4 linked regions of the Saccharomyces cerevisiae S288C genome follow. The gene in region 2 interacts genetically with the main gene of each other region. Each region holds a gene or a part of one and is shown on either strand. Other genes may lie near its edges. The genes, in order: CSG2, TSC10, ELO2 and CEM1.

Region 1 (3,877 bases), 430 kb from region 2:
ATCTATTCACTGAACTTACTGATGAAATTTCCAAATGTGCCCCGTACATCGAACGATGTGACAGAGAAAAATACGAGTAGGTAAATAAGCCAAAAGGCAAGGGTGTCCTTTCTTAAGCATCGGTTAGGTTTGCGGGCGATCAGTAACTGAACAATGACACAAGATCAAGAACGTAATTTGAGATTTTTCAAGATGGTTTTTTTAGGTATCTATTAAAACTACTTTGATGATCAATACGGTATTTTTGTCGCATTATTTTCCAAGCGGAAGGAACCGTGTGTTCATTTTATGAATCTTGGTGTTGTATTCACAGCTACTTCTCCTAATGCCTTCGATGCATTTAGATAATTTTTGGAAACATTTTTTTTCTTGATGTATATTTTTTGTATTGTAGAAATCGCGCGTACTGTACTTGTATATCGCTTTATAAGCGCTTTTAATTGATTGTTCATGACGAGGATAGGCGGATAGGCGGAGGTATGCCTCTTAATATTTATAATAAAGCCCACCAAATGGCTTCTTCTTTTTAGAATATACAATATACAAATAAAAATAAAAAAATAGAAGAACATCCTAGTAATTGTCTTGAAAATAATCAAGATATTGATTGGGATTTTTTATTTAGGGAAACCAAATAATTGCATATGCTTGTTACATCATCATCAGTCATATAAAGTATGTTGTCCGTACTAATGGTGGTATTTACCTTCCCCGAGTGTTACTGATAGGACCAACAAACTTACCGTTAGCATTATGTATCCTATGACTTCCCATCTCACAATTGTGGTTTGCGTAGGTTCGCAAACCCACTCAGCTAACCCCATAAAGATAATAGCTCCCAGGTTGCACGTCGTCAAATACTCAGCAGGGGCCTTGCGATTCAACTCTAATATCGAAATCAAGCTCGGCAAGGAACCAAAGATAATCGAGCCTAGTAGAGAGAACCAAAAGCTCTTGTCATTATAGAACAACGAAATGGATTCCACAGACTCACGGGAGGGAAATTTAGGAATAAATGGCAAAAGTATTACCATGCCAATAATACCGATTAGGGCCATGTGGGTGCTCTGCTTAACCAAGACTACAGCAGAATTTTCGTTCTTGGAAATGTTACTGCAAAACCAACGGTTCCATAACACGGCAAAAGGACCCATAATCAAAGCACCAAGGCCGCAAATCAGAGCACCTTTCAACCTATCAAACAAGAATGGGTCAGAAAGTTCACCCGTGTTAGGGTTGACGGACAGCTTTCCGGCAAGCATGTCACAGGTAGCCTTCGTGTATGAGATGATCAAAATTCCAATGACCGCGTTCATCATGATGAGGAAATTACGGAAAACGTAGTTCTTCCTGGAGATTCCACAAACACCATATAGTAAAGTGACAATTTCGAAAATGGCAGTATTTTGCATCAAAGCAACATCAAATGCCGGTGACAATGACAAAGCCATGTTATAAGTCAAATCAGCGACAATCATTATGAGAGCCAGCACTGTTAGCTTAGCCACATATTTGAAGGTAGCCACGGATATGATTTTTTGCTTCTGCTGTTGGGCTGGAATCCGTGGTTGAGGATCATCCAACACGTGCGAGAACGTATCGACATCTTCGTTTGTCACAGACCCGCTGTTGTTGTTGTCAAACTGAGAATTCCTGTTCGAGTCTGAGTCAGAGACAAACATCGGTCTCATCTTCTCCCAAAGTCGAGATGCAGGCACCAAGAGCAGCCACGAAGCAAAATACATAAAGGTCAGATAGAAGGTTAATGAACTTGAGTTTCCGTTGTCGCCGTTAGTTTCAGGCGTTGCAATTGTACCATTGGGCCCCACGGAGATTTCCTTTTTAGATTGTATGTTAGACAAACATTTTGTTTGAATCACGTAGCCTATTACACTTGAAAACCAAAGTAGTGTGGTAGACATGACGCTGTATCTTTGTTTGTTATCGTGCTAACTCACCAGCTCAAGAGCGGATCTGTTCTGGAAGAAAATGGCCTACAAACATTTCTTTCACTTGATCTTCCCACGTTCACATAGCCTCCTTTAGAGTGAGAGAGCTTTTTTTTTTCTTGCGATACACCTTCGCCGGGTGATAGCCGATATTACAAGAACGGGTTATAGCGTTATAAGTATATATGTATATACAAGGAAGAAAGTAGCATATATTTACAATCTTATTTGAATAAGAAGGAGTACCATGCCTCCTTCTGCTTGGCGCGCTGCTCTGCAGGCACATAACTCTTAACGTGTTCCACGATCTTGTCCACGCCCGTTTTTTCATCATAATTTCTACCCAAAGCATCAACAAACTGTCCTTCAGGGTCCATGAGATAAAAGAAGATGGAATGGTCTACCAAATAATCTTGGCCCGGTTTGACGTTTGGAGGCGTAGAAAAGTATACTCTGTACTTCTTGCATGCGTTCTTCACCTCATCGAACGTCCCCGTCAAACCCAGGATGGAGGGATGAAAGTCGCTCAAATACTCTTTCAATACAGCAGGGGAGTCTCTTGCTGGATCACAAGTTATAAATAATGGCTGCAGAGTAATACCATACTTTGAAGAGAGTGTATTAAGCCATAGACCTAGCTTATCCAGTTCATCAGGACAGATGTCAGGACAGTTACTAAACCCAAAGTATATTATAGAAAACTTACCGAGAAGGTTTTTCTCCGTAAACTCATTGCCATACATATCCTCCAGATGGAAGGGTCCCCCAAGTGAAGGTTTACCGTATCCTCTGTTTGCTTCAGCCTCCTTCTGTGTTTCCAATCTGCGTTTCTCCCTGTTGAAGAAATAAGAAAGTGCCCCACCGACTGCTAGGAATAGAGCAATGGCCTTTCCCGTGGAAAACTCGATCGAGCCTTCTCGCACTTTGCCGTTATCCTTAATGGGAGTACCGCCCACAGGTACTCTGCTTAATGGTTTCTTGCCATTTGACTGCCATAAGCGCGTTACAGTAAAGAATCCCCTTTGAGTGAGCAATTTAGCGCCATTGCCACTTAATCTTGCGGCTGGCAATTGGACCAATCTTAGATTGGCACTTCTTGACAACTTCAGCATCTTTTCTACGTTTGCTGTTTTTTCTGTTTCCCTTGCCTTATACGAACATACGTTTCTAATGCCGATTATAAACACAATAGACACAATTATACTATTTTCTCACTTTTCTCTTCGGGAGATCGCTATTGATTATTATTCCCGTTTATTTCCTTCAATTTAGGGTCTGAAAAGAAGATAGTAGGGTTAGTTTTTTGGGGTTTAAAACCCTAGTATAAACCCCTATACTATTTGTTTATATATTTCCTATTTGAGTATGATAGCATCGATATTGAAATTTACAGAACTTCAATTTAGTTTCAATTGGGAATTCGAGGACTCTCCCTTGGGATGGCCCCAGTCTATTTAACTATCTTCCATAATATTACTGTTGATTTCGTGACTCAGAAGAGAAAACAGAGGAAGTTACATATAGACCCAAATAAAAACCAAAGAACCACATATAGAAATGACGAGAAACCCGTTTATGGTGGAACCTTCGAATGGCTCTCCTAATAGACGTGGTGCTTCAAACCTCTCCAAATTTTACGCAAACGCTAACAGCAACTCTCGGTGGGCTAATCCCAGTGAGGAGAGTTTGGAGGATAGCTATGACCAATCTAACGTTTTCCAAGGCCTTCCGGCATCTCCTTCGAGAGCTGCACTAAGATACTCCCCAGACCGTCGCCATAGAACTCAATTTTACCGCGATAGTGCCCATAACTCTCCAGTTGCTCCGAACAGGTATGCTGCTAATCTACAAGAGTCTCCCAAAAGAGCAGGCGAGGCTGTCATACATCTAAGTGAGGGGAGTAACCTTTACCCCCGCGATAATGCAGA
Region 2 (3,120 bases):
CTCCTTTTCAGCAGACTTACTAGTACTGGCAGCAGCTGCAGACACTTTGGAGTCAAATGTCTCAAATGATATTGGTGGCAATTGTGCAACACGTCTTTTCAAATTGTAGCGATGCCAATCGGACTTCATGTGGGCCCGCTGCTCGTCGCTTGAATCAAAGGTCAGGACACATGAATTACACGTATAAACACCACTGCTACTCATCGTATTGTTACTGATATGCTCTCTTCTTGACTTCTAATGAGAAGCATCTCATAACCTGTACTAAAAGTGGAAAGAGGAAAATTTTTTTCACCTCATCGCATCGGTACCCATAAGAAAAACTTTCAAAATATAGTAAGAAAAGAGAATAAAAATAGGAAAATATCGCCGTGGTAATAATGTTATAATTAATATTTCGTATATACTTATACATGTACAAATAGCTACACCACTAGGGTTTGTCTTGAAAGAAATAAAGAGAGTCACGGGGAATATCGGGAATGAGAGTGGATGTGCTCTCAGTTGGCCTTCTTGCCGTCATTTTCACGAAACCATTTCCTGATATACCAGGAACAGCCAACCATGTAGAATGGCACGACCAGAATGTTTGATAGGACACCAAAAATCCATTGCAACGGAACAAAGCGGCTTTTCTTTGCGGTGAGCCCAAGGTCCATCCCCATTATCATCCATCCGACAAAATCTGTAAAAACGTCATCATCACCTCTGGCCAGCGACTTGGCAATGATATCACATGCTTGTTTGCATGGGATAGCGTCTGAGGGGCCTTCGATCAACTTTGTAATTTCGGGTTTCGTTAGCTGCTCTACAGTGAAACCTTCGCTTTCAAAATTACCAGGATAAACACAACTGATACGGAAGTTCGTCAGTTCTTGTCTTAAGATTGCTACCAGTGATTTGATTGCAGCTTTTGCAGGCGCATACTGGGAATAGCCCACAAATGGGTAAAGCGCGGTGGCACTAGAAAAGATGATGAGGTGGTGTTCCTTGGTTTGCTCTGCAAGGGCAATCTGATGTGCCACGTTCAAAGTTGTTTTATAGTTGATGTCCATACCCAAGTTCAACTCATGTCCGCTTAGCCCACGAAATAACTTAGGAACAGCCCCCCCTGCACAGCATAACGTTTGTGTAGGGAGTAAATCCAAGTCTCTCAGGGCATTGAACAAACATTCCACGGATTCGTAGCAGGACAAGTCGCATGGGTAGTAAAATAACCGTTGCTCAAGGTCCAAGGGCGCAGCCAACTTATGTTGCACTTGGCCCTCGTCAGTGGTTTCCCTTCTCAGGTGAGCTTCAATCCTAATTTCGTTGCATGTGTCCAGCAGTCTAGCCTCTGACCTACTGACGATAATAATCTTTGTGTTTTCAGCCTCATTATAATATTTTTTGGCGAATTCCTTTCCAAGACCTTGTGAACCACCAGTGATCAACACAACTTGGTCTTCTAACGTAAACTTCATTACCTACAAAAGATTATACCGATAACTTCTTTTCTTGAGGCAATCTTATTTAATCGCTTCCAGTAAATGCAGAGAAACTCCTCTGCATTTTTCATTTTTTTGTTTTTTTTTTGTCGTTTATTGTTTTTTAGCCTTACGTTTCACGTTAAGGAACAATGATAGTAAAATTACTCCAGGAAATACAAGTAGCACAAAATACGGAGGAATACGATATGGAAGCAACCATCAAAGTGGTACTGCTAGGAGATTCATCAGTGGGGAAAACCAGTATAGTGACTAGGCTCAAATCAGGTAAGTTTCTAGCAAAACATGCGGCTACGATAGGTGCGGCGTTCATCACCAAGACAATCGAGGTTCCTTCTAACGACTCCTCTACGGAGAAACGTATCCATATGGAGATATGGGACACGGCGGGTCAGGAACGGTATAAATCACTGGTGCCAATGTATTATCGAGATGCGAATATTGCTTTGATTGTATTCGAATTGGGAGACGTATCCAGTCTGCAATGTGCAAAGACATGGTTTCAAGATTTACAGGACCGTGCTCAGGGAACGCAGGTAATTATCGTGGGCAATAAGTACGATTTAGTCTGCGAAGAGCATTCAGGGGAAGTGACTATACCGGCGGAGTTACAGGGTCTGCCGTATGTGGCCGTAAGTGCAAAGACAGGGTACAATTTCGATACATTGAATAAAATAATAATCAGTTTGGTTCCCGAAAGTCAATTCAAGACATTGTCAAAGAACAATGAACAGGGAAATATACTGGAAATAAATAAAAAAAAAAGCGGCAGTGGCTGTATATGTTAATACATAAAGTATTTGATTTTAAATCATAATTACTTAGATATCACCTGGGACAGGGTATTGACCGACCCACTTGGAAATCTCGCCAGACAAAGCAGCGACTTCACTAGATTCATTACACAACTTCTTGAACTCATTGAGTCTTGATCTTGCATCTAGTTTCGTTGTTGGTTCCAAAGTTTTCAAATTTTCAGCGAGCTTAACGGCAGAATCAATGTACTTTGCGACTTGAGAAAACTCTTCACGGCCAAATCCTCTCGTGGTCATTGCTGGAGTACCGATTCTTAGACCAGAGGGGAAAAGAGCACTCTTATCACCTGGGATGGTGTTCTTGTTAGCAGCAATGTTCAAGGCACTTAAAATTGTCTCGACACGAGCACCGTCTACCTGAGTACCGGATAAGTCAATAACAATCAAGTGGTTATCGGTACCGCCGGAAACCAACTTATAACCCATCTTGGTTAGTTCCTGAGCAAACCATTTGCTGTTGTCGACAATTTTTTGTTGGTATTCTTTGAATTCTGGAGACATCGCTTGCTTTAATGCCACTGCCATTGCACCGATAGTATGGTTGTGAGGACCACCTTGATGTCCTGGGAAAACTGAGAAGTTGATTTTCTTTTCTAACTCATATGGGATTTCCTTGCCCTTTTTGGTGACAGACTTGATACCCTTTCTGAAGAAAATCATAGCACCTCTTGGGCCTCTCAAGGACTTGTGAGTGGTTGTGGTAACTATATCGGAATGTTCAAATGGAGATGGGACAACATTGGCTGCCACCAAACCGGATATGTGTGCCATATCACTCATCAAATATGCGCCGCATCCTTGGGAAATTTCCTTGAATC
Region 3 (3,512 bases), on a different chromosome or scaffold from region 2:
AGTTGATGAGAGTAAAGAAGAGTCAACGAACACGATAGAGAAGGAAGAAAAAAGTGAGAACAATGCCGAGGAAAATGTTCAGCCGGTTCTAGTTCAAGGTTCTGAAGTGAAAGGTGATCCATTAGGTACACCGGAAAAAGTTGAAAATATGATTGAACAGAGAGGCGAAGAGTTTGCAGGTGAATTGGAAAATGCTGAGAGGGTAAACGACTTAAAAAGGGCGCATGATGAAGTTGGAGAAGAGAGCAATAAGTCCAGTGTAATAGAAACCAACAATGGGGTACAAATAATGGATCCAAAAGGAGCTGTTCAGAATGGTTATTATCCAGAGGAGACCAAAGAACTTGACTTCAGTTTAGAGAATGCGTTACAGAGAAAGAAACACAAATCTGCACCAGAGCATAAAACAAGTTATTGGAGTGTTCGTGAATCTCAACTCTTTCCAGAATTGTTGAAGGAGTTTGGCTCTCAATGGTCTCTCATATCAGAAAAACTGGGTACCAAATCTACTACAATGGTAAGGAATTACTACCAAAGAAATGCAGCTCGCAATGGATGGAAATTACTGGTTGATGAAACCGACTTAAAGCGAGATGGGACTAGTTCAGAATCTGTACAACAATCTCAAATTTTGATACAACCAGAACGACCAAACATCAATGCCTATAGTAATATTCCTCCTCAACAAAGACCGGCTTTGGGTTATTTTGTTGGACAACCAACTCATGGGCATAATACATCTATTTCATCTATCGATGGCTCTATAAGACCATTTGGGCCTGATTTTCATCGTGATACCTTTTCTAAAATTAGTGCTCCTTTAACCACTTTACCACCACCAAGACTACCATCTATTCAGTTTCCTCGTTCAGAAATGGCAGAACCTACAGTGACAGATTTGCGTAACAGGCCCTTAGACCATATTGACACGTTGGCTGATGCAGCTTCGTCAGTAACAAATAATCAAAACTTCAGTAATGAAAGGAATGCAATTGACATTGGCCGTAAATCGACGACAATCAGCAATCTATTGAATAATTCGGATCGAAGCATGAAATCTTCTTTCCAAAGCGCTTCAAGACACGAAGCACAGCTCGAAGACACTCCCAGCATGAACAATATTGTAGTACAAGAAATAAAACCGAATATTACTACGCCAAGATCGAGTTCTATTTCTGCATTACTAAATCCTGTAAATGGGAATGGGCAATCAAACCCAGATGGAAGGCCGTTGCTGCCATTTCAGCATGCTATTTCTCAAGGCACTCCTACTTTCCCTTTACCGGCCCCTCGCACTAGTCCAATAAGTCGTGCGCCTCCAAAGTTCAATTTTTCGAATGATCCGTTGGCAGCTTTGGCTGCGGTTGCCTCCGCGCCAGATGCAATGAGCAGTTTTTTATCTAAAAAGGAAAATAATAATTGAACAAACGGCTGAGACGGGCAATACATATGCTCTACTTCTTTTCCATCCAATGGTTGGTGAAACTCTCGAGCATACATTACCTTACGTGTGTTAGTGTACTATATTATATATATATATATGTATATATATAAAGGGAGGAGTTTTTAATTATAATTGTAATTTCGTATTTTTTCTGCATTATACAGTTTTTTCCGATTTTAAACGACTTTATTTAAGTGTCGTGTAAATATGTCACATTTTATTTTTGTACGTATTCACATGTCCTGGCGTGCGGCCATTGCTGAAAATCGCAAAACCCACAGAGAAATAAACATCGCGAAAAAGTCAATGAAAAATTGGAAAATATTTTTCATTTCACTATTATCCACAAGCAATTTTGTACAAAGTGAAAAGGTTGAACTAATTATCTTCGTCTAGAAGCCATGAATTCACTCGTTACTCAATATGCTGCTCCGTTGTTCGAGCGTTATCCCCAACTTCATGACTATTTACCAACTTTGGAGCGACCATTTTTTAATATTTCGTTGTGGGAACATTTCGATGATGTCGTCACTCGTGTAACTAACGGTAGATTTGTTCCAAGCGAATTCCAATTCATTGCAGGTGAATTACCATTAAGCACTTTGCCCCCTGTGCTATACGCCATCACTGCCTATTACGTTATTATTTTTGGTGGCAGGTTTTTGTTAAGTAAGTCGAAACCATTTAAATTAAATGGCCTTTTCCAATTGCATAATTTGGTTTTAACTTCACTTTCATTGACGCTTTTATTGCTTATGGTTGAACAATTAGTGCCAATTATTGTTCAGCACGGGTTATACTTCGCTATCTGTAATATTGGTGCTTGGACTCAACCGCTCGTTACATTATATTACATGAATTACATTGTCAAGTTTATTGAATTTATAGACACCTTTTTCTTGGTGCTAAAACATAAAAAATTGACATTTTTGCATACTTATCACCATGGCGCTACTGCCTTATTATGTTACACCCAATTGATGGGCACCACATCTATTTCTTGGGTCCCTATTTCATTGAACCTTGGTGTTCACGTGGTTATGTATTGGTACTATTTCTTGGCTGCCAGAGGCATCAGGGTCTGGTGGAAGGAATGGGTTACCAGATTTCAAATTATCCAATTTGTTTTGGATATCGGTTTCATATATTTTGCTGTCTACCAAAAAGCAGTTCACTTGTATTTCCCAATTTTGCCACATTGTGGTGACTGTGTGGGTTCAACAACTGCCACCTTTGCAGGTTGTGCCATTATTTCTTCATATTTGGTACTATTTATTTCATTTTACATTAACGTTTATAAACGTAAAGGCACCAAAACCAGTAGAGTGGTAAAGCGTGCCCACGGCGGTGTTGCCGCAAAGGTTAATGAGTATGTTAACGTTGACTTGAAAAACGTTCCTACTCCATCTCCATCACCAAAACCTCAACACAGAAGAAAAAGGTAAGTGTAAAATCTTTGAAAGAATTTAAGTATTCAACTTTCGTATATTCGTTTTTTCTTAGTGGATCTATTGTTACTATTATCACTATTATTATATTGTAAAAGACCGGATGGTTTTGTTATATATTACATACACATGTTATCGTTGAAAAAAGTTTTCCGTTTCCTTTCGACAGTCATCAGATAATTTTATCCGAGTCTTTTATATGTTAAATCTTGTTGACAAATCGTCCGCTCTAACCCTAGATAACAACAATGATCTTTTTATCATTTCTGGCGTTATTTTAGCGCCTCCTCCCACTAATGTTAATTGCTTATAGTTACCTGAAGGAGCAGCGAGGATGGAGATCGTACTGTGTATACTTGTTTCTTCCGCTTCAGTATCTAGGTCTGCTATTAGCACAGTGTTCAATTTATCCATATCAATGTCCACTTCCTCTTCTTCAGAGTTATCAGAGTTTTGTAATTGGCATTCGGGGTCTAACTCCACTATCCCATAATTTGAAGCAAATGCAATATTCTTTGCGTTTATCATTAACGGTACTGACTTAGTTTGGTCGCAAATAATTTCATACGTTTCTCTTATGGTGGCACTTCTTCCTCTTGTTCTTATAGTCATTCTTAAAT
Region 4 (3,959 bases), on a different chromosome or scaffold from region 2:
TTGCGGTATGGCGGCCCTTAATGACCCAACCTGGAAGTCATATTATGATAAAAACGCCATGGGTGGTGTCATATATGCTATCCTGGTCCCTAACTCTCTAAACGGATTCGGTCAATTCTGCTGTGTTTTGTTGGCTCTTTCAACTGTTGCTAATAATGTCCCTGGAATGTACACTGTCGCTTTATCCGCTCAAGCTTTGTGGGCACCTTTGGCTAAAATACCAAGAGTAGTCTGGACAATGGCAGGTAATGCTGCCACTTTAGGTATTTCCATCCCTGCTACCTATTACTTTGACGGCTTTATGGAGAATTTTATGGATTCCATTGGTTATTATTTGGCTATTTATATTGCCATTGCATGTTCAGAGCATTTTATTTATAGGCGTTCCTTCAGTGCTTACAATATTGATGATTGGGATAATTGGGAGCATCTACCTATCGGTATCGCAGGTACTGCTGCCTTAATTGCTGGTGCCTTTGGAGTAGCGTTGGGTATGTGCCAAACTTATTGGGTTGGTGAGATCAGTCGTTTGATCGGAGAGTACGGCGGTGACATTGGGTTCGAGTTAGGCGGAAGTTGGGCGTTCATCATCTATAACATTGTAAGACCTTTAGAACTCAAATATTTCGGTCGATGACTAAATGTTAATTGATTAATATTTTTGCTAATCATTGAAATGATTGGTTTTAATGGATAAATCTCGACATTCGAATAGATAGCATATAATTCAAAAACGATTATAATGGGATATATATATAAGTTTAATAATATTAACTCCCTTCCCATTTCTTGAAGAGAAGAGATGTGTTAACTCCTCCAAATCCGAAGCTGTTGCATAATGCGTACTTCGGATTAGCTCCCACAATAGGTTTGTCTCTTATGAAATGTAGCTTATCGGCCTCGTTATTTTCTAGAGTCAGAACATTGTCCAGGTTTAAGGTATGCGGCATCTTATCATCCTTCAAGGAACAAATTGTAAATATACTTTCTACGGCGCCAGCTGCACCTAAAAGATGGCCAATTGCACCTTTGTTACTGGATATGTACAGTGGCTTGCTTTTGGATCTTCCTGGTAAGAGTGCTGAGGCTACTGCCAGACACTCTGCTTTATCGCCTAGTAAAGTTGATGTAGCATGTGCATTGACGTAGTCAACATCAGTTGGTTCTAATCTAGCCATTTTTAGAGCCATCTCTATTGCTCTTTTGGCACCATTTCCATCAGCAGGAGGGGAGGTAATATGGCAGGCATCACTGCTTAAACCATAGCCCACGAGCTCAGAAATTATGTTTGCATTTCTCTTTTGAGCATGTTCTAGCGATTCCATGACAATCATTCCGCATCCTTCACCAAGTACGAATCCAGAACGTTGTGTATCAAAGGGTCTAGAGATCCCGTTTGTAGTAATCGACTTTGCTCTGATGAAACCTGCTAAACTTAACGGATGCAAACTCGTTTCACTTGCACCGGCGACACAGATGTCTTGCATGCCTAACCGAATAAAATTGAATGCATCGCCAATGGAGTTATTACCTGTTGCGCATGCTGTGGAAACACTATGGGATAATCCTCTAAGGTTAAACTTGATGGAAACATTACCAGCTGCCATATTTGTAAGGATTTTAGGGACGAAATATGGATTTATTCTTTTATTGTCGTTATGGAATTGTAGAGAAGTTTGGTATATGTCTTGAATGGATCCTATACCAGAACCTATCAGGCAACCAAAGTGATCCAGATTGCACAGAGATGTATTGATGGTTATATCATTTGGGTTCAAGAGACCAGCATTGTGAAGCGCTTCATAAGTTGTACGTAGTGCTAGCTTGATAAAGCTTGAGGTTCTTCTCTCATCCTGGCTAGTGAACAGCAGTTTATTGATGGCTGAATTTTCGTTTTGAAAATTCTCTGGAATCTTCCCCACTGTTATCGTTGATGGGATACTTTTTTCTCTGAGTTTGTAGTCCTCATTATAGTTGGGCAAAGATGTGATTGGTGTGAGTCCATTTTTGGAAGAGAGCAGATTCCCCCATGACTCACTTAATGATCTTCCCAACGGCGTTACACAGCCCAATCCTGTGATAACCACTCTTCTTGACATTTCTTTACTAGAAATTAAATTTTAATCCGTTGTGGCTCCTGTCACTTTCAAGTTGCTAATAACCTGATAACGTTTAAGGATTTTACTTCCTTTTTTATCATTTATTTTTCTGAGATGAGACAGAGTCAGAAATAATAGCACACTATATGTTTTAAAAAAAAAAATCTATCTACGTATTTATTTAATCAATAAGATGTGATTTTATAAATGTGTCGTTTTTTAGCATCATTACTTGTTTTGTGGCGAATATAGAATAGGACTGTATCTGAGAATTATTACTCAAATATGTTCGATTTTAGAGGATTACCATTTCAACAGATCGTCCTTAGCATATAAGTAGTCGTCAAAAATGAATTCAACTTCGTCTGTTTCGGCATTGTAGCCGCCAACTCTGATGGATTCGTGGTTTTTGACAATGATGTCACAGCCTTTTTCCTTTAGGAAGTCCAAGTCGAAAGTAGTGGCAATACCAATGATCTTACAACCGGCGGCTTTTCCGGCGGCAATACCTGCTGGAGCGTCTTCAAATACTACTACCTTAGATTTGGAAGGGTCTTGCTCATTGATCGGATATCCTAAGCCATTCCTGCCCTTCAGATATGGTTCTGGATGAGGCTTACCCTGTTTGACATCATTAGCGGTAATGAAGTACTTTGGTCTCCTGATTCCCAGATGCTCGAACCATTTTTGTGCCATATCACGGGTACCGGAAGTTGCCACAGCCCATTTCTCTTTTGGTAGAGCGTTCAAAGCGTTGCACAGCTTAACTGCACCTGGGACTTCAATGGATTTTTCACCGTACTTGACCGGAATTTCAGCTTCTAATTTGTTAACATACTCTTCATTGGCAAAGTCTGGAGCGAACTTAGCAATGGCATCAAACGTTCTCCAACCATGCGAGACTTGGATAACGTGTTCAGCATCGAAATAAGGTTTGTCCTTACCGAAATCCCTCCAGAATGCAGCAATGGCTGGTTGAGAGATGATAATGGTACCGTCGACGTCGAACAAAGCGGCGTTAACTTTCAAAGATAGAGGTTTAGTAGTCAATCCCATTCCGAATATTGTTTTTATTGTTTTATGTTTTTCCACTGATCTGGTAAACACTAGCTGGTTGGCGCTATTAATATGAAAAGAGTTAGACCAAATTGAGTAGAAAAGAAACCTTTGGCAATCCTAACTATGTTGTTTTAGCTTGTGTATTTAAGCGCATATATATATATTTCTGAAAATGACAACATCAAAAGAAACGAACTTATTTAGAATAAAAAGAAACGACTTGGCTTCTTATTATTCCTACTTTACGTCACGTGGGAGGCCCGTTTAGGGGGGCAGCTATGTAGTTTTTCCGAGCGTACTTTCTTTCAGCATCCGAAAAGTCCTCACTTGACGGCTTACACGGAAACGCCGCGGATTGTGGGGCACAGATGATGACGCAGACGGAACACTGCAGAAATCTTTTTACCTTGTCGTTAAAGACGATATTAGAGAGAAGAGTTTGGCTGGGGACAAAGTGCCAGCTTTTCGTTCAGGGCGAGGTGCCAAAATACTTGAGAAGGCCAAACCCCAAAGGACAGGGCCAAATACGTACGCTACGGTAATATCTAATGGGAGAGGGTATAACATTGACCATTTTCGAAGGAGGCATAGGAATTTAGACGCTGATGGATGTTATCAATATTGAAGTTTTTCACCGTTTCCCTCTTTCTCTGCTCCTTTAAAGAACGCAAAGTCTCCTCTTGAGAGAAAGCAGACGATTGGAATTGGTATCTTTCACGTAGCATTGCTTAACCTACGGCCATATTAATGATATGAAGTCATATGAAAATGGCCGAGGCCAGCGGTTCATTCGAGGATATA

Evidence for each region.
Region 1: mutations in TSC10 (region 2) and CSG2 together harm fitness less than expected from each alone (positive genetic interaction), as found in Saccharomyces cerevisiae (5 studies listed by BioGRID, with this or other methods).
Region 3: mutations in TSC10 (region 2) and ELO2 together harm fitness more than expected from each alone (negative genetic interaction), as found in Saccharomyces cerevisiae (2 studies listed by BioGRID).
Region 4: mutations in TSC10 (region 2) and CEM1 together harm fitness more than expected from each alone (negative genetic interaction), as found in Saccharomyces cerevisiae (2 studies listed by BioGRID).

Annotation. Positions count from the first base shown.
Region 1 is NC_001134.8:308,392-312,268, forward strand, and holds CSG2 (mannosylinositol phosphorylceramide synthase regulatory subunit), read right to left. Parts: upstream 1,923-3,877; coding exon 690-1,922; downstream 1-689. Other genes in the region: Cu-binding protein SCO1, read right to left, coding at 2,174-3,061; chitin synthase CHS2, read left to right, coding at 3,507-3,877. UniProt on the Saccharomyces cerevisiae protein: Required for calcium regulation. May regulate calcium accumulation by a non-vacuole organelle. Also regulates the activity of CSH1 and SUR1 during mannosyl phosphorylinositol ceramide synthesis.
Region 2 is NC_001134.8:736,925-740,044, reverse strand, and holds TSC10 (3-dehydrosphinganine reductase), read right to left. Parts: upstream 1,464-3,120; coding exon 501-1,463; downstream 1-500. Other genes in the region: SLM6 (Slm6p), read left to right, coding at 1-109; REI1 (Rei1p), read right to left, coding at 1-204; Rab family GTPase YPT10, read left to right, coding at 1,676-2,275; glycine hydroxymethyltransferase SHM1, read right to left, coding at 2,309-3,120. UniProt on the Saccharomyces cerevisiae protein: Catalyzes the reduction of 3'-oxosphinganine (3-ketodihydrosphingosine/KDS) to sphinganine (dihydrosphingosine/DHS), the second step of de novo sphingolipid biosynthesis.
Region 3 is NC_001135.5:188,747-192,258, forward strand, and holds ELO2 (fatty acid elongase ELO2), read left to right. Parts: upstream 1-1,845; coding exon 1,846-2,889; downstream 2,890-3,512. Other genes in the region: SNT1 (Snt1p), read left to right, coding at 1-1,423; exosome non-catalytic core subunit RRP43, read right to left, coding at 3,088-3,512. UniProt on the Saccharomyces cerevisiae protein: Component of a microsomal membrane-bound long-chain fatty acid elongation system, which produces the 20-26-carbon very long-chain fatty acids (VLCFA) from long-chain fatty acid precursors and is involved ceramide and inositol sphingolipid biosynthesis.
Region 4 is NC_001137.3:277,528-281,486, forward strand, and holds CEM1 (fatty acid synthase CEM1), read right to left. Parts: upstream 2,100-3,959; coding exon 771-2,099; downstream 1-770. Other genes in the region: FCY22 (purine-cytosine permease), read left to right, coding at 1-637; glycerol-1-phosphatase GPP2, read right to left, coding at 2,403-3,155. UniProt on the Saccharomyces cerevisiae protein: Possibly involved in the synthesis of a specialized molecule, probably related to a fatty acid, which is essential for mitochondrial respiration. Is essential for oxygen uptake and the presence of cytochromes A and B.